4 linked regions of the Schizosaccharomyces pombe genome follow. The gene in region 1 interacts genetically with each later gene. Each region holds a gene or a part of one and is shown in the gene's direction. Other genes may lie near its edges. The genes, in order: lsb5, gar2, SPOM_SPBC1778.03C and gda1.

What was found.
Region 2: mutations in lsb5 (region 1) and gar2 together harm fitness less than expected from each alone (positive genetic interaction), as found in Schizosaccharomyces pombe (one large-scale study listed by BioGRID).
Region 3: mutations in lsb5 (region 1) and SPOM_SPBC1778.03C together harm fitness more than expected from each alone (negative genetic interaction), as found in Schizosaccharomyces pombe (one large-scale study listed by BioGRID).
Region 4: mutations in lsb5 (region 1) and gda1 together harm fitness less than expected from each alone (positive genetic interaction), as found in Schizosaccharomyces pombe (one large-scale study listed by BioGRID).

What each region holds. Positions count from the first base shown.
Region 1 is NC_003423.3:3,760,312-3,765,626, forward strand, and holds lsb5 (protein lsb5), read left to right. Parts: upstream 1-2,625; 5' UTR 2,626-2,858; coding exon 2,859-3,773; 3' UTR 3,774-4,128; downstream 4,129-5,315. Other genes in the region: protein mug37, read left to right, coding at 40-305; ADP-ribosylation factor Sar1, read right to left, coding at 640-983, 1,241-1,346, 1,396-1,518; protein Mde2, read left to right, coding at 4,509-5,126, 5,180-5,315. UniProt on the Schizosaccharomyces pombe protein: Essential for the organization of the actin cytoskeleton, fluid phase endocytosis and vesicle trafficking.
Region 2 is NC_003424.3:1,895,304-1,900,960, forward strand, and holds gar2 (nucleolin), read left to right. Parts: upstream 1-2,158; 5' UTR 2,159-2,219; coding exon 2,220-3,722; 3' UTR 3,723-4,188; downstream 4,189-5,657. Other genes in the region: sdh2 (succinate dehydrogenase iron-sulfur subunit protein), read left to right, coding at 161-988; arb1 (argonaute inhibitor protein 1), read left to right, coding at 4,749-4,862, 4,904-4,986, 5,026-5,043, 5,083-5,334, 5,396-5,657. UniProt on the Schizosaccharomyces pombe protein: Helps the assembly of pre-ribosomal particles containing 18S rRNA.
Region 3 is NC_003423.3:3,100,143-3,105,468, reverse strand, and holds SPOM_SPBC1778.03C (NADH pyrophosphatase), read left to right. Parts: upstream 1-3,105; 5' UTR 3,106-3,303; coding exon 3,304-3,335; intron 3,336-3,515; coding exon 3,516-4,614; 3' UTR 4,615-4,826; downstream 4,827-5,326. Other genes in the region: guanyl-nucleotide exchange factor Lam2, read left to right, coding at 1-353; Spo4-Spo6 kinase complex regulatory subunit Spo6, read right to left, coding at 618-722, 769-1,490, 1,537-1,669, 1,721-2,185; telomere-binding protein Rap1, read right to left, coding at 4,893-5,326. UniProt on the Schizosaccharomyces pombe protein: mRNA decapping enzyme that specifically removes the nicotinamide adenine dinucleotide (NAD) cap from a subset of mRNAs by hydrolyzing the diphosphate linkage to produce nicotinamide mononucleotide (NMN) and 5' monophosphate mRNA.
Region 4 is NC_003424.3:1,695,006-1,701,017, forward strand, and holds gda1 (Golgi nucleoside-diphosphatase Gda1), read left to right. Parts: upstream 1-2,865; 5' UTR 2,866-3,032; coding exon 3,033-4,703; 3' UTR 4,704-5,157; downstream 5,158-6,012. Other genes in the region: TIM23 translocase complex subunit Tim14, read left to right, coding at 97-99, 147-194, 248-619; hydroxyacylglutathione hydrolase Glo2, read left to right, coding at 1,566-1,684, 1,827-2,478; SPOM_SPAC824.09C (GTPase-activating protein), read right to left, coding at 5,312-5,954. UniProt on the Schizosaccharomyces pombe protein: After transfer of sugars to endogenous macromolecular acceptors, the enzyme converts nucleoside diphosphates to nucleoside monophosphates which in turn exit the Golgi lumen in a coupled antiporter reaction, allowing entry of additional nucleotide sugar from the cytosol.

The sequences.
Region 1 (5,315 bases):
GTTGGTTTTATTGCATAAAAATGAAATCTAACGTTATAGCAAAAGTGCGCTCTGCAAAAAAAGTCGGCAATGTCATCCTCTACTACTTTGAAGACGCATTTCGTGGACAAAAATCACCAGCGATATTTGCTAAATATTACTCATGTTGCGAAATATCGCCTCTTTTAACTAAACCGGCAACTATGATCAGAGTGGTTGGAATCGTCTCTCATGCCGAAAAGATTTTAAAAGTGATACACATAGCTAGCTCGGATTTAGATGAATTATGGGACACTTACAATATGGTGCTCTACGAAACTTTATAGATTATCATCTATATATGATCATATTCACAAAAGATAAGTAAATATCTCTGAAGAACCAATAATCAAGCTTTAGAATCACAACTGAAAAAAATGGGCTAACGGATAATACACAATACGTTATCAGCATAGGAGCATACTGCAAAGTCAGTAAAGACAAATGCTCCGTAGATGAAAACAATTGACCGCACGAATATCATATAACAAAAAAGACTTGTCATCAAGTTTGTAAATCTGAATTGGGCGAATCTATGTAAGCGCTGAGCAAACAATTAGGGAAATTTGGAACGGGCGTCATTCAAAGTGAAAGGTTTTTAAGAGGATGCAATGGGGTAACTTAGACGTATTGAGCAAGCCACTTGAAGCCTTCGCCATAACCTTGGCGAAGGACCACCGAGCACATGAATACTTCGATAGGTCGGATTCCAGGAACGGGTTTAGACACGCCCTTACCAGTGGTCTGATAAAGTCCAAGGGCCGCCTTGAGTTCATCTTCAGAAATAGCACCAGGGGCATCGATTTTATTGCCAAGAATCAAAAAGGGGACGCGAGCAAGTTCTTCCATGGCCAATAAGGCATCTAGTTCGGCCTTTGATTCAGAAAGGCGTTCAAAGTCACAGCAGTCAACCAAGTAAACAATGCCATTAACCTCGGGGAAATAATCTCTCCACAAGCGGCGAGCTATAAGAAAATTAGTAAAAATACATAAAATCAGATAGAGAATCCAAAATCATAGAAGAAATTGCAAAGAAAAAACAAAGATCATGAGAACAAAACGGCCCACTGATAAACTAGCCAACGACATATGAGACGATATAGAAATTCAAACAACTTTATACAAAAAAGAATTTTAAGCGAAAAAAAATTAATTATTCTAAAGACATTCCAACTCTTACAAAATCTCCATGATTTAGAAAAACAACTCTGTGACTACATACCCTGTTGATGACCTCCCAAATCGAAAGTAGTAAATCGAACGTTGCCAATAGCCAGTTCTTCTGAAGTAGGATGTAAAGTTGGTTGCATTACAGCTAAACGGTCATTCTAAATAATTAGTATAAGGATAATCAAGGAGAGTAGAAGTCAAACATACTTTCAGCATGTGTAGCAAGGTGGTCTTTCCGGCGTTATCTAAACCCAAAAACAGCATCTTGGCATGCTTGTTGACAAGACCAAGCATGGCAAGAGCATCGTAGAACCAGTTAATGATAAACATTGGTGTAAGATGGATGGATTTTCTGAAAACCTGTTATGCTCAGTGTGTTGGTGGTTGGCAAGAGATGACTTACCTCATGCCTAGTTATACTAATTTTCTCTAGGTAACCGAAAATAAGTAGTTAAAGAAAATATTTAATTAATGTACGTATGAAATGAAACTGAATAATTACATATAGTTCAAATTTGGAAGCTTCTCTATGCTTTTTTCTAGTAGTAAGTATGAAGAGAACGATTTTGGCGATTTCTAATTTACATGTTTACGTTTGCTTAAATTAACTATTAATGAATTCGTCTCAATACAATTTCTTTCGGTTTGAAAAGAATAAAGGATGATAGCTTTCAGCTTTTCGTTTAAATAAAATTCGACTAGTAATTTACCATTTCTAAAATTTGTAACTATAAACATGTTATGTATTTGCACTACGCTCAGTTAATAACAGGGCGCAATAGACAAATTGAGAAAAACGGTAAATAAATGTATAAAAGAATTGAATGAATAAAACAATGCACACTTACAACAGTTGGGTTAGAATTACAAAAAAAAAAAATTCACGTAGGCTAACTGTTTTTAATATTAGCTTTTGAGATTAGAAGTAACTTTAATTTCTAAAAGTTTTCTGGATTTCTTTTTTTATAAATCTTACAAATTGTGACATCGGCCTTTCGTAGTTTATAGATATATTATACGAATATATATACATATATTTTTGTTTCTATGTATACGGTGGGTGATACAGGAATTTGTGTTTTATATTTAAAACATATAAATTCAATAATACTCATTTATTCAAAAAAATTTTTTTTTAAGCTAGTTTTTTTCATAATAAGTTGTTAATAACTATCATTTAATTATTACTTAATATTATTCCGGCATACAGAATTAGTAAATATCAGCTGAGAATCTATATCTACAGGATATTTTGCTAGCAAATAAATTAACAAAAATTGCATAATCTTCTCTAAAATTCAAGCATCAATTTTCGGGTTAATTTATGATCTTTTTCATTCTTCATTTCGTTAATTATTTTTGTATCACAACTTTGGAACGTAGTGTAATATGATATTCTTTATCTATACGACACACACCAAAATCCTTCTTCTTTTTGCAAATATAGACAACTTTTCTATTCGATAGCTTTAAAACTTCATAAAATTTTACTTGAAAGAACAACCAGAAGGTACTACTTTCGTTTATTGGAAGGTCCGTTTACAATCGATTGAAAATTATTCCTTGCTGCTATATATTTTCAGACTTTAATTTGTTCCATCAAGCCATCAAACACTCAAGCTATCATTATCTCAGTGAATAATTAAAATCACTATTTCATCTTATTTATAATGGGAATTTTCAGTGAAACAGTTCCAATTACTGCTGTCACCACTTATATCGATCGTTTAACCTCTAGAGATACCGACGATGAGGATTTGTCTGGTATCGTTCAATTATCTGAAGCCGTTAATTTAACTGTTACTGGTCCGCGAGAGGCTTCTCGTACCCTTCGTAAGAAGTTAAAGTACAGTACACCTCATGAACAAGTTCGGGCACTTGTTATTCTCCAGGCTTTAATTGAAAATGCTGGCTCTCATTTTTTACAAAATTTCTCAGACGAAAAATTGGAAGACCGAATGTTGCAATGTGCAACAAATTCTGAATATTCTAAACCCGTTCGTAAGCGTGCTATCCATATGATCAAACTTTGGCACAATGACTATTCTAATGTTCGTGGAATGGAAAGCATGAGTAGTTTAGTATCTCGACTTCCTCAACGACAATCATCTGCTTCGCATTCTGAACAACCCACTATCAATCTTAAAAAGGTTGGTCCAATTTTAGAAAGATTGATAGCCTCTTCCAGCATGGCTGCTACCAATCTTTCTAATAGCCTTGTCCGAATCAATCCTAACACAGAAAATCCGGCCAAAAACAAGCAAATCATGGTTTATTATGTGGATTGTAAACGTGCTCATCGCTCCTTGTTGCGCTACATACAAGCTATTCAAGACGAGATGTGGTTAGCCAATCTCTTGAAGGCAAACGATGAAATTGTGACAGCCATTGATGCATTCAAGGAAAAATGCTCCGAAAACTCAGATTATAGTTCAGATAGTGGATCCTATAGTTCTTCATATTCTCGTCACCTTGATGATCGGGCTTCTTACATATCTCGCTCGAGTAGCGGAGGTTCTAATGCTCAGAGATCAGAAGATTTGGATGTAAACAATCCTTTTGGCGATCATAATCGTTTGGAATAATTAATAAGCTTTCCTTTTTAATGGATTTGAATACCTAATTAATTGGTAATGATCGATTGATATCAAGGGGTGCGAAGGTTAAAAAGCATTTCATCTTGCCTTCAACATCTTCTTAATGATTCTACCTTCCATCTCTTTAATATGAGTGCCTTATTTATCTTGGACAATTATAATTTTTTAAGATTATGAGTCTTTTAGTTGGGTCATGCACTAGATATATATTACTGTATTCGACTTATTAGATACAATCCCTTTTTAGTCAACCTTTTAGCAACCGTGCGCCTTTGTTTATATTATTGCCAATTTTATTGCGTTTAACTGATAAGGTGTTTAATTAATTTATTTTTTTTGCACACTAGTTGTAGTCAATCTTTGTAAGTAACGCGCTTTAAAAAATGTTTTCTTTTAATTAACATAATTTAAAAAGTAAAGTTGTTTTCGAGATATCTAAAGCCATTATAGTATACCGTCCATCTCAAAAAAGCAGCACAACATTATTTATGTAAAATGGATGCATACATGCTTAATTTTAACCGTCAAATAATACAAAAAACAAATACATAACATTTTAACCAATTAAATAGAGAATTTGGTATCCTAAATTTGTAGCCACTTAAAAGGCATTCGTTCGTGAGTTTGTTTGTTTACATTCCATACCATACTACTAAGACAACAACCAAAGTGAATGGGTAATTCAAGACTAAAAGAAAAGAGGATCACGGAAATTAATTAAAAATGGAAAATTATACCAAATCCACAACCATGTGTGGAAAAAGAAAACCAACATTTGAGATTTATCGGGAAAGCGACTTTTCCAAAATAACAAATCAAGGAACTGTGACAGCGTTTGACATTATTTCAAATAAGGAAACATTTTCTGAAAGTAAACAATTAAAGAAAGCTAAGTCTCGAAACGTTACTTTAGTAGATAAGAATACAAAAGCCGATAAAAGATACAAAAGTGAGAAGCTATCAGATTACCTTCTTAACCAAGAACACCATAAAAACTCTCCGAAAATCATCAATGATGTGCTTGTTATAGGAAAAAGTGATGGTTTAATAAACTCGTTTCCATTAAGCCAAAATTATATATCTTCCAGTGAAAGCCAAACATCCTCTGGTAATGTCGATATTATTGGCAATGATAACTCACATGCATCTCCTTATTTACCCAAGTTTGAGCTAAAATCACAAAGTCAGTCCAACCATTCGAACGTTGTAAAAAACCAACCGATCAAATTGTGTAAAAAAACTGAGGGAGGTACTAATCTCGACCATAATAAATCAATAAATGGAGCCGTGAAATCAGGGACATCAAAATCAGCAAACAAAGACAGAATTTATGTTTTCTACGTAAGCAAATAATTTTTTGTAAAGGAATTTAAGCTAACAAGTTTTGGGTCAAGGAAGATGAAGAAGTGATGGAGTATCGTTACATATTTGGATCTCGTATGCAAACGAAAAATCATGATATCAATGCAAATAACAAAAGAAAAATTTTCTATCAAAACTCATTTTCGAACTTTCATTTGCTCCATAAAA
Region 2 (5,657 bases), on another chromosome or scaffold:
AAAAATATTTAAAAGTTTTATTTTGGATATGAGTGAAAAATTTAATGTATTTTTCTGCCGCCAATAAAATTGATTCTGTTTCCATCTATAATAGCCAACCACAACGCTCGCCTTTACCAGTCTTACCAACTGCCAATATTAAAAATCAAAACATATCGAGATGTTCAGCCGTCGAATTCAAGTTTTGAGCCCGTTTTTGAAGCATTTTGTTAACAGAAATGCCCGTATGATGGCTACAGAGGCCAACATATCTGCCACTTCTGCTAATCCTCAGTCACAGGGTGAAAATTTAAAAACTTTCGAGATTTATCGCTGGAACCCAGAGAAACCAGAAGTAAAGCCAAAGCTTCAAAAGTATACAGTCGACTTAACAAAATGCGGACCAATGGTTTTGGATGCGCTTATTAAAATCAAAAATGAGCAAGATCCTACCTTAACGTTCCGTCGCTCATGCAGAGAAGGTATTTGCGGGTCTTGTGCGATGAATATTAATGGCAGTAATACTTTGGCTTGCATCTGTAACATTAAAAAAGATAACAAACCTACTAAAATTTACCCCTTACCTCATTGCTTCATCGTAAAGGATCTCGTACCTGACCTAACCTACTTTTATAAGCAATATAAGAGTATTGAACCCTGGTTGCAAAACGATAACATCCCTAAAGACAAGGAGTTTTACCAATCTCGCGCTGACCGTGCCAAGCTTGACGGTTTGTATGAATGTATTTTGTGTGCCTGTTGTTCTACCTCTTGTCCATCTTACTGGTGGAACTCAGAAGAGTATCTTGGCCCAGCAGTTTTGATGCAGGCTTATCGTTGGATCATCGATTCTCGTGATCAAGCTACTGCTAAACGTTTGGATGTCATGCAGAACTCTATGTCTGTCTATCGTTGCCATACCATTATGAATTGCGCTCGTACTTGTCCCAAGGGTTTGAACCCTGGCCTTGCCATTGCCAAGGTAAAGGCTTTGATGGCTACTGCTTAAACAAGATTTACGCTTCTTTTTGTCTTTTCTTTCGCATCTGATGATTCCAATATTTCTTGTTAAAGAGGAACCCCCGTTGTTACTTAACCTATTTTATGTTTCTCTTCTACGATTTTTTTTACTTGCGTAGCTCTGTGTTTAGCTGTCATCTATGCTACATTACTTTCTCGATCTGACCATTACTTTTGCGTTGTTCCCGTTAATGAACCCTTTATTTTTATTTGCAATATCTAAATCTAGTTTACCATTAATAATTTCGGGAAATGGTAAACTTTTCTATTTTAAAGAAAATATGCTATTTCGTGGTAACTTGTGCACAATTGAATTGTTTGATTGTGATTTTTTACGCTGTTACATCAGATGAAATAATTAAGCATGTATTTGAAAATTATCTAAACCACTTTTTTCACTGTTTATTTGTGGCTAGTTACTGCATTTAACATAGCAGCTGCTTCTTTGGTTAAAGAGTTGAAAACTTTTTAGCATATTGAGAGCCCTTTAAGGTAATTGCTTTGTAAAACTTGAGATAAGTAAATGAGGCATCTTTTATTTAATTAAAGTATCACATAAAAACGGAAATCATGTACACAATAATGAAAGAAAAATAAATCTTAATATGACGATTAAACCATGGTATTCTCCATAGGCTGGTCGAAATTTTTTGTTACTATAACATGATTTTAAAATTTCAATGGATCAACAATGTACATTTTCACGGCCACTTTTTAGTTTATAATATTTGACGAACACAAATAACTTGGATAAGATGTTATCGTTCATAAGAATTTACATATTCACCACTCCAGATAATACTACGCAAGACTAAACCTAACTCCTTCGTTTCACTGATTCAACAATTTATTAAATTTCAATATGCTTTTTACCTTTAAGACATGTTATAAGCCTTCAGACACACTCATTTTTTAAATATTAATGGCGAATATTTTACTTTGCTGGTTTGTTGTTGAATAGCGCAGATAGCTATTACTTGATAGCGTAATTAGTTAAACTCGCTTTTATAAAAAATAGTAGTAGTTGAACAAGCTTCTATATTAGTAGTTTAACGAATACGTCTAGAAAATTTGCTATACTAGTATACGGCTTCAGGTACATATATCATCGGTAAAAATTTTTTTGGCTATATATAGCAGCTTGTCGCGCCGTACCAGCAGTCAAACTAAAAAACTCCCAAATTCTTTTAAACGGGCTTTTGGTATAGGTTGTGAATATAATGGCAAAAAAGGATAAAACCTCCGTTAAGAAATCAGTGAAGGAGACTGCATCAAAGAAGGGTGCCATTGAGAAACCTTCCAAGTCCAAGAAGATTACTAAGGAGGCTGCTAAAGAGATTGCAAAGCAAAGCTCTAAAACCGATGTCTCCCCTAAAAAATCTAAAAAGGAGGCTAAGCGTGCTTCTAGTCCCGAACCTTCAAAGAAATCAGTAAAAAAGCAAAAGAAATCTAAGAAGAAGGAAGAAAGCTCCTCAGAATCCGAGTCTGAATCTAGCTCATCAGAATCCGAGTCTTCCTCTTCAGAATCCGAATCTAGTTCTTCAGAGTCCGAATCATCTTCATCTGAATCCTCTTCGTCTGAGTCTGAAGAAGAAGTGATTGTGAAAACTGAAGAGAAGAAGGAGAGTTCCAGCGAATCATCTTCCTCCTCTGAGTCTGAAGAGGAAGAAGAGGCTGTTGTAAAAATTGAAGAAAAGAAGGAGAGCTCTAGTGACTCTTCTTCCGAGTCTTCCTCATCTGAATCTGAATCCGAATCTTCCTCATCTGAATCTGAGGAAGAAGAAGAGGTGGTCGAGAAGACTGAAGAGAAGAAAGAAGGCTCCAGCGAGTCTTCTTCTGACTCCGAATCCTCGTCAGATTCCTCCTCAGAATCTGGAGACAGCGACTCTTCCTCTGATTCTGAATCCGAATCCAGCTCTGAAGACGAGAAGAAACGTAAAGCCGAGCCTGCTTCTGAAGAAAGACCTGCTAAGATTACCAAGCCTTCTCAAGATTCTAACGAGACTTGCACTGTTTTCGTCGGTCGTCTTTCTTGGAACGTAGATGATCAGTGGTTAGGGCAGGAATTTGAAGAGTACGGTACAATTGTTGGTGCACGTGTTATTATGGATGGCCAAAGCGGTCGCTCAAAGGGTTACGGCTACGTTGATTTTGAGACCCCTGAGGCTGCTAAGGCTGCTGTTGCCGCTAATGGTACCAAGGAAATTGATGGTCGTATGGTCAACTTAGATCTCTCTAATCCTCGCCCAGCCAACCCTCAACCATATGCTCAACAACGTGCGGGTAATTTTGGAGACCAATTATCTGAACCTAGTGATACCGTATTTGTTGGAAATTTGTCTTTTAACGCAACTGAAGATGATCTCAGTACGGCTTTTGGCGGTTGCGGTGACATTCAATCCATTCGTTTGCCCACAGATCCTCAGTCAGGACGTCTTAAGGGTTTCGGTTATGTTACTTTCTCTGATATTGACTCTGCCAAGAAATGTGTGGAAATGAACGGTCATTTTATTGCTGGTCGCCCATGTCGTTTGGACTTTTCAACTCCTCGTACTGGTGGAGGTAGCCGTGGTGGTCGCGGTGGATTTGGCGGTCGTGGTGGATTCGGTGGCCGTGGTGGATTTGGTGGCGGACGTGGTCGCGGTAGAGGTGGTGCTCGCTCTGGAAACCCCAACCGTGGCTCGGTTGCTCCATTTTCTGGGAACAAAGTCACTTTTGACTAAGTATACTGGCTTTTAACTATATTGAGTTCATTTTTATGGGTTAAATGTAAATACCTTAGCAAATTAATATATGAGTTTGGGTTTTTGGGAAACTTTTTGGCATAAAGGGTTTTAATAAATGTTGGGCTGTGGATTTGATTTAATTGGGTTGAAGTATTCAAATACAAATGACTTGTTTGGGTTTGTTATGGAATGAATTTGGGTTTGGTTTGGTTTTATTGACTTTATAAAGATAATAAATATGGGCCCGTTGGTTTTACAATTTCAAAGCAGTGATGGTTGGCGTTGTTCTACGGTTTAGTTCATGTATTCACCTTTCCTTTATACGTTCCATAGAAGCTTTTGACATAGCTTTAGATAGGTTTTAATATAAAATAGAATCTTATTTAGTTTTGTTCTTGTTCATCTAATCAATCCATGTTACTCACAATCATCGTTGATCACTTTCTAATAGCTAGTAAATGAAGACCGTTTTGTGTTCCTTTTTGGGCTTTTCCATACGGCACTTTAAATTAATGATTTTTTGTTGAACTTTGATTGTGGTCTTACCCGTAATCATAAATGAAGAATGTAGTCGAGCCATTGTCATATTGTCTTATATCTTCAACTTGTAATGTCTCGTCTATTAAATTAGGTAAGCATCAATAGAAGGTATCATTGATTCTACATTACAAATACGCTTCTATTTCAACTTTTAAATTAATACAAGCATGTTTACTTACACTTTGGTTGCGATTATTTTAAGCAAATTAAAAAAAAATATTTTTGTATATCAAATTATAATATAGCTAAATTCAATTGTAACAGTAGTGATGAGTTCTGGCATATTCAAAAAACGGTTGTAGAATAATATATCCAGCGTTACTAAATCCGGCAAAGGAACTGTCTACTTAACTCTATGAACAAAGCTTCTAATACAACACTGTAAATTTGGTTCCTTAGATTCCCCTTACCACACTGATAAACTAGTAAATCAACTATACGACTAGTGTACTGACTTTCCAGTCCAGATGAAGTGATTGAGTGATGGCAGAAGGTGATTTTAAAAATGACAGTACAGGTTGTATTGGCGATAGCGTGGAATTTACTACTTTTAAAAAACGTACAGGAAAAAGTCTCGGTAATAGAAGAAAAAAGAGGGTATTTCTTAAGCTTTAGAAAACCCGTCTAATAAATATTAGGGATTGTCTGGATGGGAGCCTTATTTTCAAGAACCCGAACTGACAGCTGAAGAGAAATTGGAAAATGAGACATTATACAGCAGGTGAGAATACAAAATATTGTGTCTTACTAACACTTCTAGGAACATACCATTGACTGTGTTAGTAAACAGATGTTAAGGACTTTGCTGACAAATTAGGCGAATGGAGCGATTTATTCAAAGATATCGATCACGCAGAAAATGGAGCGACCCTACAAGAATAAGACTGTTTACAATGTATCTAGATTTAGGAGGCGTTTCTACGGGCCAAAAACAGTTTACAGGGGGTACTGATATTAATAACGATGCGAAGGCACGAGAAGTTTCCGCTCAAACCACGACTGATTATATTGAATACGATATACTTGATGAATATGATATTGATTTTAAGTGGGTTGCTGGAGTATTTCTGTGAGTCATTTATGTTTCCATTGAATTTAATTCACGTTGTATTTTAGCTAATCAATTTAAGGTCGTCACACATTTTGTATAACGCTGGACTAACTAAGGAAGAGGATTTGCAAATAGCTTGTCAAATTGTTAGAAATTTTCTGCTAAGTGTTTTGCATAACAATGTTGCACCAGAATTCGAAGATAATATTCGTGACGCATGTTTATTAGCAGAGCAAGCAGAAACTGAATTAATTTCTAATAAGAGGCTATCAACTAAACTTCCCGGTAGATTGCAGCGGGCATTGGCTAGTATACATGTTGACAATTATAAAGGCTTATGG
Region 3 (5,326 bases), 660 kb from region 1:
TAAAACGTCTGGATTTAGCTAAAAGGGTTAGATCTATTGCGGCTTTAGCAGGCAACATGTATTCACTTTATACTGCAACCAACCCTAGCCCTTTGGTCGCGGAGTCTACAGACGACGTGATTGCTCATCAAAGAGATGTACTTTTTGAAACAATAATTGAGTTTGAAAGGGGGAAATTATTAATAGCCGCCATTTCAATTGATGGGGCTGAAGATAAACTTTACTCCAAAGACCCATTATTATTAGGGATTGTTGGAACAGAAAACGCAAAGGAAGGAATGATGCAAATCAAATCTGAACTTTTGAAAGAGTGTATCACCAATGAGCTTTCCACGCTTGGAAAACCAGTCTAACTTATTTTAAATCTATTTTGATTTAAACTCGATAATGTTTGGAGCTTTACTTGCATTGTTTGTTACAATCATAGGCTTAAGCCTGACCTTGGTTTAAGAAAAGAATGCTACAACACATCATTATATTGTTAATTTTCTCTTCCCTTTTAGCAGATTATTTTGAATTTTTCATTTGGACAAAGGATATATTGATTTTACGGTTTATTTGAATGTTTGAACTTGCTTTCTGGAATTTTTGAGACATCCTTAAAACTTGAACTAACGTTAATTTGTCCGAATTGGGCGTCGGATTAGCAAAAACAAATCATCTAAACCCTGGAAATTTTCATCTTTCTCTGCAAATCTTCTATGATGTTTTCCGCCCAAATGCTATCGATGTGTTAGTGCTGTTTTTGCTATGATTGGTTTAACTTACCCTTTCCAAGTCCTTGTATCTCTCACAGCAGTTTTCACAATATCCTGATTTTGTTTCGATTTTCACCTTCTTGTGAGCTAGAGGATCTGCATCGAAGGCATTAGGTGGTTGTCGAGGACTTTGGTTAGCCAAGGTGTTTTGTTTGTTTATTAAACGAGGTTCAAGAAGGTTAAGTGGAGACATTGCGGCGCGTTTCTCTACCGGTAAGAGGTTTTCTGGCTTTGGAAACTCTGTCGGCATTTGTTTTGCACCATCAACTGCTGATTCTGTGATATTATAGTCCCCCATGATTTGACGCACCAACACACTCGCTGAATTTTTAACAACGTTATTTTGGTTAGTTTGATTAGTGCAACTTAAGAGCTGTTTTCTGATTTCGTGAGCTGGATGGTTATGTTTTGTGATTTTTAACTCCCTTCTTCTACCAGTATTAAATGGACATCTTCCTTGTGCGGTTATAGCAAGACTTGGCCATAAGATCTCTCCAGAATCCAATGTTTTCTCCCATTCTCGTACTGCAATTGGCTTATAGTATTGTGATAAATCTCTAATGCAGAGGAAGTATTCACGAAAGTACTCGACGTTTTTGCTTGGCACGTAAAAGTCTTTGTCTGATGTACCATACACTTTTTCACCGTCTAGGAGAGATTGCAAGCACGAAGCTGAGGTATTAACCAGGCTATCAGAGTTGAGTAATGTAAAGAGGATTCTGTTCAATAGTTCTAAGAAAGTTAGCGAAGGTTACACTGATATATTAAGAAGACTTACTGTCCAGGAGCCAAATTTTCATATTGGCAGTTTTCGAAAGGTAAAGTACATCATTCGGCTGGCACATTTCTGGGTCGGTAGTCCTGGTGGTAATGAAATGTGTAACTTCAAAAGTAAATAATGTTGCTACTTTCTATATATGTGTTAGTTTTGATCTGCGCAAGTTCTTGCATGAACTACTTACGGCTCCAAGATTATTAATCTTTTGCGTAACACGACGCTTGATTTCCTCATCAACGTTGTCAAAGTAAAATATAAAGTTGGGAAACGCCAATCGATAATCTCTTTGCCAGTAACGAAGTTTGGAAACTCGAATGCTGGTTCTTGGTATATCCTTGTTTCGCGTTAGGGAAGGTTTTACACAGTAGTTTGAAAAAGCAGTGGGTGGGAGAGCCATCTTTGCTGTGGCTTTAGCAGAGTCAAAGGCATTTTGATGAGGCATGTGCGTTTGTTGTTGAGGGTACCAGTCGGAGCATGAAGTTGCGCAAGCTGCAGTTTGACACAGTTCTTTGTCCGAAGTTTCTGTTTTATAGCTAAGAGGATTTTGAATATCTCTCTTTACTTCTTCGTTTATATTTTGTATACTGGGATTTTGGTCGACTAGAGGAGATCGAACAAACGGCTGAGACTTCACTGAATAGAAGTCCATACTCTTCCGGATTGACTCGGAAAGATTTTTAGGAAGAAGAAGTATGTATATATATTCCTTGGGAGGCTGATGAATTCACCTGTTGGTTAATCCTACTTATGTCTGGCTTTAATATTCAGCAATGGCCTCGGTAAGCAAGATGCAGGTTTTCCTCTAGAAGTAAAAAGATAAACCTATCTTTTTTTCTGTGGAAGTTTGGAGGAGTATCCTGGATATATATACAATTTGATTTTGTTTGTTTACTCAAATATTTTCTCATATTCACCTAGTATTGTTTGTAAACAAAAGCCTCGCCTCGCGTATTAAGCCAGTAAATTAAACGCGCGACACGTCGCGTTGCGTATCACATTCATACTAAATAAATAAGCTACTTTGGCTCCATTTGATAGTTTTGCTGGGTTCCTTTGTAAAAATTTTTTTAGTATTCATATGATTAGAAAATATATATTTACTTGATTCAAGCTTGTAAAATAAACATAGACCCAATTTTAAATAAATAGGTACCTAAAAGTCTAGGTAACATTGTTACACTGACACGTGAGAACTTTGTAGTTAATTAATCGTCAACATAACGAAAACAACTCAAAGCAATTCCCGTAACTGTCCATTTAGGAATTAACCAAAAAAACAAACAAACAAAATCTATTTTTATTCCAATGATACTTTTATGACTCACCAAGGCGTTAATAATTGCGAAAACACATACCAATATGTTTACAATTATTTTTTTAACGAAATTCGTTAAATACTTCATGGCATTTGAGAAGTTGTATGGCAATCGTATTTAACGGAGACTTTTTCATATTCAGTATCCCTTTTCATTTGGAACTTTAAGGTTTTCCCAGCTGAGAGTTCGTTTACATCATTTTATTAGATTTTTACTTGCAACTTGGGTTCGACTTTTAGTTCACTCATAAATTGTACCATTACCATTACGCTGGTGCATAAATAACCCTCCTTCTGGTCCTCTCTGTTCTTCATTTCCATCTTTCATTTTCTATTCTGCGTATTTTAACAGTTAAACAATTGTAGAATTTATTCGAGAGATTTGCAAAATTCTGTTTTAATAATTGGTTAGGTTTAATATTCTTTTCGTCTTTCAGAAATCAAGTTTAAGTATGCAGGGTTTCAAAATAGCTCGACATTTTGAGTAAGTAGTTAATTGTTAGTTCTATTTAAAGCTACTTCAAACTTGATAATTCATATCATCTGTTTTGCATGCTCATGGAACGTACCGCTCAACCCTTGCTAATACATGTGCAATGTAACACATAAAATCAATTTTTGATATAATAATCTTAAAAAAATGAGTTTTCTAACGTTTTTCAAGGCTTCCGACTGCCCCTTCTCAGTTCTTCGCAGGAAGCTCATTAAATAGGCTTTCGTTTCTTAGGTCTAATCGAGAATTTTTAAATAAAGCCTTTTATGATCATACCACTCGCTTTCTTCCTTTTTGTGACTTAAATCCGGCTCTACTCGTAAAGGACGATAAATTGGTCACTCTTTCATATCCTCAGATATCCAAATATTTCACGTTCTCCCCTTTTGAGCACACTGATAAACAAATTGCTGAACGATTTTCCAAAGGAGAAAGTTTACCTGTCCTTGTCTACATGGGCAACGAAGAAAGAAATGGACCAACAGATAATTGGAGTCAACACAACGTTTTTGCCATTGACATTACTGGCATCGATGAACTTCAGCAATCGATACGAGACAATGGAGGTACTTTCGTTAATCTTCGCTCTATCTTCACCGAACAATATCAATTGAGCGCATCGGATTCTGGTGCTTGTGCTTTTGCACGCTCTATTCTTGACTGGATTTCAAGGTACAGATTTTGCCCGGGTTGTGGAAAACGCAACATACCTACTATGGGCGGTACAAAATTGGTCTGCAGTGACGTTTTATTGAACGACGACTCAAACTGTCCTTCAAAGAAGGGTATTAATAATTACCAGTATCCTCGGACAGATCCATGCGTAATAATGGTTATATTGTCTCATGATATGCAACACATTTTACTTGGAAGAGCTTTGCGCCATCCGAAAGGACTGTATGCATGTCTGGCAGGCTTTCTGGAGCCAGGGGAAAGCTTGGAAGAGGCCGTTGTCCGTGAAACCTATGAAGAATCTGGAGTTGACGTAGAAAAGGTTTTATATTATGCTAGTCAACCCTGGCCTTTTCCTCAAAGTTTAATGTTGGCTTGTTTTGGAATTGCCCGAAAAAATGCTAAAATCCAGAGAGATAAAGACTTAGAATTAGAGGATGTGCGTTTTTTTTCCCGAGAGGAAGTTCTTCGTTCTTTGGAATGGGATGCCAAGGATGGACCTGCTCCAATTTTATTTCCCCCTAAACTATCCATCGCTAGAAATTTGATCCAAGCATTTGCATATGATGATTGGACAAATTCACAAGTTAAAATGTAAAGGAAGTTATAAAAATGGAAGTTTAGCTACTTTTCCAAAGATAATAAGTGAATTTTCTAAAAAGGTTGATTTACTCTGCTACATCAAAGCAAATATAATCGGCTCATCAGAATTGAAATATTCACACCTACTAAATCCAGAAACAAAAAGAATTTTGTTAAGTTCAATATAAAATATTTATATAATAAAATCATGAATTATGCATAAAAAGATTCGTAATATTGTACAAGTTTAGGTCTCTTTAGAGAAATAGAATTTGGGCAGAGATGCTCGGCAATTTAAGAAGTTTGTTTTGAAAGTAGTTTAGCAATGGCAATTCGTACTCTTCCACCCGTAGATTCCATAGCTTCAAGGAATTGTTGTTCTGTTGAATTTGTGTACCTTAAAATATTGTCGATCGCTTCATCAACCTCACGGTGATTTACTGACGACCTTAAAATAGAAACTTCATTTTGTAATTCATGCATTGCTAAGTTAATAAATTTTCCTTTCTCTTCACTGGGTACATGACCTGCAGGTAATGTAGTTACTTTTTCATTATTATCTGACGGTATGATTATAGTCGGACCGGTATGAGCTTCTTCGTTAACCATTCTGTATTTTTTCTGCTTTTTGGTAACCGGTTGCTGCATGTTCTCTTCCACTTTCTTATGAGAAGCTGCATTTCCTTCTAACGAAGTGTGAGCGACTTTTGTGGCACCAAAGCTTTCTG
Region 4 (6,012 bases), on another chromosome or scaffold:
TTCTTCCTCCACTATCCTCAAGGTATTGGGAATTGAGGAGAATATATATATTTTTGGTTACTTCTTTCACATTAAATAAGTTTTGAGATATAACAAATGGTATGAGATTTTTTTTTTGCCTCACTAACTAACTTATTTTTGATTAGTCGTCTGCTATTCTCCTTGGAGTCGGTATCGCTGCAACGGCTGCGGCAGTATGTGAAAACAGAAAATAAAAGCTTGACATTTGAAATGCTAATGACTTTAGGGGAAAATTGGTGTTGACGCATTCAGAAAATACCGGAATTTGAATGGCGGAGTAAAGGCCTTTCTCAAGGGTGGTTTTGAGTCAAAAATGTCTAGGGCAGAAGCCATTCAAATTCTGTCATTGAACAACCGTACTTTAACTCGACAAAAAATAAAAGAGGCTCACAGAAGGTTGATGCTTGCAAATCATCCAGATCGGGGTGGTAGCCCTTATGTAGCCAGCAAGGTAAACGAGGCCAAGTCACTTTTGGATGCAGATCGATCAATCCGAAAATTTAGTTCATGGGCACTCCCTGTTTCTAAGCAGCGATCAATGCCTAGTGTTCTTGAAGCGGTGAAATGGCTTGAATACAGCTCCATACCGAAAGCTTAAAAGTGATGAATAATGGTCTGCATCGTTGTTAATATTATTATGTGCTGTATCTGCTGGAGAACTAATGTTTTCTTGCTAAAATTTAGCTGAAAGCTATGATGCCCTTAATAGAACTAATCATTGTGTGAATTATTGTTTGCTTTTCCAAAAAACTTTTACTATTCAGTTGCAGACACCTTTTGTCAATTTATTTTATTTTTTGCTTCTAAAGATGTGTGTTTGCTCCGTATAGTACATCGCCTTCGATTCTTTTCGTACTCTTATATCAATCCTTTTTCGGAAAATGCGAAGGAAACCCCGAAATTGTATTTTTTTTTCTTTCTCTACGCTGGAGCTATTTAGTAATTTGATTTCGAGCGTCAATGATTTTGTCTCCTTTTTGATGGTTGTACCGAGTGTTAATAGTTTAACTCTTTTTTAGATTAAATTTGAGTCTCTCATATGTTTCCGGACACTTACTTTCCAAAACGTTTTCAATGGAAAATTGTCAGGTTCTTTTCCATGCATTCCGAGTATCAATTCACAACAAGGATAAGTTAAAAGAAGAATTCGAGCATTTGATTTCCTTAGTCGTAAACAATATCATTCCTTACAAAATGTATACTCTTTGAAATGATTTTAGTTTTTGACTTTTGCGCTTTGAATGACATTGTTAAAACCTACTTCAGTAACAGTTTATATGAAGTATGTTTATTTAAAAATTTATTTCATAATCATAATTAAAAAAAATGAATTGATTAATAAACATCGAAATTTCGCTTCTAACAATGATTATTAACACAGAAGCTGCCTTTACATATCACTCTGACGTTACCGTATATAAGTGCGTACTGTCAAATTTTTTTTGACTTAAACAAATACGTTCTCTAAGATTTTGTTTCTTAGTAGAGTAGGAAGTTTAGTATATTCATTTTTTTTTAAAGTGCATAAGATAATAAGAAACGCGATGTCTTTTCATATTACGCCCATATGGATGTGGAAAGGAACGGGCAACAACTATGCCTATTTGCTGACTTGTGATAAAACCAAAATCACTGCCATCGTCGACCCTGCTGAGCCTGAGAGGTAAGTGAAGAGAATGAAATAACGACTTAAATACTGTTATCTGTGATTTCGGAAACATGATTTTCTCCTCCTGTTTTCCGAATTGTTTTGTTTGTGCGCTCCGTAACATTTAATTAACCAAACTAACATTGACAAACTCTAGTGTTATTCCTGTCATAAAAGAGAAAACGGCGAAGAAAGAAATTGATTTGCAGTACATTCTGACCACTCATCATCACTATGATCATGCAGGCGGCAACGAAGACATTTTGAGCTACTTTCCTTCTTTAAAGGTCTATGGCGGAAAAAATGCATCTGGTGTCACATACACTCCCAAAGATAAGGAGATTTTCAAGGTTGGAGAAGTTCAAGTTGAGGCTCTTCATACGCCATGCCATACCCAAGACAGTATTTGTTATTACGTTTCCTCTCCTTCAAAAAGAGCCGTGTTTACTGGAGATACTCTTTTTACATCAGGCTGTGGTCGCTTTTTTGAAGGAGATGCCAAACAAATGGACTACGCTTTGAATCACGTCCTTGCTGCTTTACCCGATGATACCGTAACTTACCCTGGTCATGAATACACCAAATCAAATGCCAAGTTTAGTTCCACGATCTTCTCTACTCCTGAGCTTACAAAATTGGTGGATTTTTGCAAGAATCATGAATCTACTACTGGTCACTTTACCATCGGTGACGAAAAGAAGTTCAATCCATTCATGTGCCTTGGGTTAGAATCGGTACAAAAAGCAGTGGGCAGTAGTGATCCAATCACTGTTATGAAGAAATTGCGTGACATGAAAAACGCTGCTTAGACCGACTTTGAATTTATCTGATGATGTTTTATGTATGCCTTGGTAAGCTCGGTTGCTTTGCTTGATTCTACTAGGAGCTAGAGCAAGAATATAGTTGATCTATTTTTCAATTGGATCACATATACGAATTGAAGGCTGTTTAGCGGTGTCAGAGTAAATTGCATCCTGAGTTTATTTTATTCAAATAAATGTTTTCGTTTCTTTACATGTAAGCAATAAAGAGATTGATTATCTTAACTTCGATTAAGTTATTGTATTTACATATAATTTTGGGTGGCCTATACAGTCGCACTTTTACCGTAAATGATTTAACGCGATTAGAGAGGTATCCACACAATAGCATTTACAACTCTGAATATATGCTAAGCCAGTTTTTAATGTTTATTTAACTTGCCATCAACCAAGTAGTAAGTGTTGATAGGTGTTTTGGTGCCTACTAATTAATATAATTATCATAAAATCGCGTTCATTTATTCACTCTTTCTTATTTAATTGACTTCTTCACCAATTTATTTGAATTCACCAAATATCTCTTAGGATTACTCACTCATTTCATGACTCCAACTATGAAATCAATAGCCCGTAGGAAGGCTTTGTTAATTGCACTATCTATATTTGCTGTTACGTTCATTTTATGGAATGGATTCCCAGGCTCATCAAACCGACCTTTACCATCTTCAAACGACGAATTCCATTATGAGGACATCGAGCTTCCTTCAGGCTACAGAAGTGAAGGAGAGGTAGTCGATCTTTTGAATCCCAAGGATGAGTTAGAGGAACCTCTTTTTTCCGAAGAACCTTTATTTCCTGTTACTACCTCTATCCCTACTAAGACTGCTGTTTCTAAACCTAAAATAGCTCCAACCAGTGCGGCAAAGGATGTAACATTTTCTTCTTCTATTGACTCAGATGATTGTTCTGTGGCTTATGATAACAGCAAGCCTGTTCGTCAATATGTTTTGATGATCGATGCTGGTTCCACTGGGTCTCGTGTTCATGTTTACCAATTTAACAACTGCAATCCTTCTCCCAAATTAGAAGAAGAGTTTTTTAAAATGATAGAGCCTGGCTTATCTTCTTTTGCCGGTGATCCTGAAGGAGCAGCGGCATCCTTAGACCCACTACTTGACTATGCCATGGAAAACGTGCCTGAGGAATATCGTCGTTGTTCCCCTATTGCTGTAAAAGCAACCGCTGGTTTACGATTGACTGGGGAAAGTGAGGCTAAAGCTATTTTGAAATCAGTGCGACAACATTTGGAAAACGATTACCCTTTTCCTATTGTAAAAGACGGTGTTTCTATCCTTGAAGGTTCCATGGAAGGTATATATGCGTGGATTACCATTAATTACCTTCTAGGAACTTTGGGTGGTAAAGCCACGCACTCTACTGTCGCTGTAATGGACCTCGGTGGTGCTTCTACACAGCTTGTTTTTGAACCACGTTTCGCTTCTGATGGCGAATCGCTTGTTGATGGTGACCATAAGTATGTTTTAGACTACAATGGTGAGCAATATGAACTTTATCAACATTCTCACTTAGGTTATGGTTTGAAGGAAGCTCGAAAGCTGATTCATAAATTTGTGCTGAATAATGCAGAGGCCCTAAAGGAGTCATTGGAGTTGCTCGGTGATTCCACTAGCATCATCCATCCATGTTTGCATCTCAACGCTAGTCTAACGCACCCGGATTCAAAAAGCGAAGCTTCTGAGGTCGTGTTCGTTGGCCCTTCGTTAGCCCATCTTTCTCTTCAGTGTCGTGGTATAGCAGAAAAAGCCTTGTATAAAGACAAAAATTGCCCAGTCCGTCCTTGTTCTTTCAATGGTGTTCATCAACCCAAGTTCACTGAGACGTTTACTGATTCTCCCATTTATTTAATCAGTTATTTTTACGATCGTATGATCAGTTTAGGCATGCCAAGCACTTTTACCATTGAAGATATGAAATATTTGGCAAATAGTGTTTGTAGTGGACCAACATACTGGCAGGACGCCTTTTCTTTAACTGACGCCCTTAAAGAGTTGAAAGAAGAGCCAGAGTGGTGTTTAGATTTGAATTATATGATTTCTTTACTTTCGGTTGGGTATGAAATCCCCAATAACCGACAGCTCCATACTGCTAAGAAAATTGACAACAAGGAACTTGGATGGTGTTTGGGAGCTAGTTTGTCTATGTTGTCAGAGCAAAACAATGGTTGGAATTGTAACGTGAAAGAAGAAATTTAGTTTTTACCTTCTTTTATTATGTTGAATGAACAACAAGCATATGTAAACTTGTTTGCTTAAAACCTCAGGAGGTCAAGGGTTAATATAGTTGATCCTGTTTTTTTTCTTGTTTTTTCTTTTTTCTTTTTTCTTTTCTACATTCGTCCATATTATTTCCATGTCTCAAAATTCGCTACTCCGCTCCTTTCAGTGTTAACTTCTTTACGGGCGTATAGCAAATCTAACATTTGTTGTACAACTAACATTAATAGATTGAGGGACATTCTTTATTCCACTGGTTTGTTTCATGTAAATCAAATCTTTCAAATTTCTGGGAAAGTTGAAATTGATCAAGGCAATTTTCCCAAATATCGTAGGCATCTTTTTACGGAATACATACAATGTGTGCTAGCTTTTAATACTTAATAAACTTTCAGCGATAATAGACCTAATAAATACATTTATGTCATTTATATTTACTGAAAAGTAGAAAATGTATTATAATGAAGGTTGAATATAGGAATCCATAAATGCCGACATCGATTGATGAACTTAAATAGCTAAATTAATGAAATATTTCAAAATAAGTAGTAAAAACCTCTGTTAATTTGTATAAGCGTCACTAAAGGCTATTTCCAAACATCATGAGAATTAATAATCTTACTGTCTAAAGAAGATCGCGGCCGAGAAGAATTGGATTGAACGGGTGATGCTCTAGCAGATGGTTGTGCACTGGTCACATTAGAAGTGAACATAGGCATCTTCCACTTATCTGCCACAAAGGAGGATCCTGTCGTAGCCGGTTGATGAAAAGCACCATAAGGTTGGCTAGACGTAGTACTAGTTGAAACTGGGGACGGTAGATTTTGGTATGTTGCATTGGTGGTTATGCTTGAAGAACTTACTTGTGGTCGTGGAGATGCATATAAGGAGAGAATTGAAGACTTTAAATCTCGTTGTCTAGTCGAAGGAGCATGCACAGTAGAAGGTTGCTTGGATAAAGAAGCTAAATTAGGAGACGACTGGGCTAAAGAAGTGGTAGCTGATATAGCTTCTTTCTTGGAAGTAACGTTGGTAACTGTAGCAGAAGAAGTGCTTTTAACTGAGTGAGCACTGGAAGATCGAGAAGCAGTATTAAGATCTAAAGAGGCGTTGACTTCTGAAACAGGTCTGGTATTCTGTTCCGGTTTTAGCGTTTCCGGAGAAGGAATTTCAGGGTAGAGTACCCATTTTTTAAATTCGTATTTCGTCTTTATAAAAGTCGCAATTTTACTAAATCTAGGTCAGAAAATATGCAGTAAAAAAAACAAAAAAGAAGCTTCCAATTTGC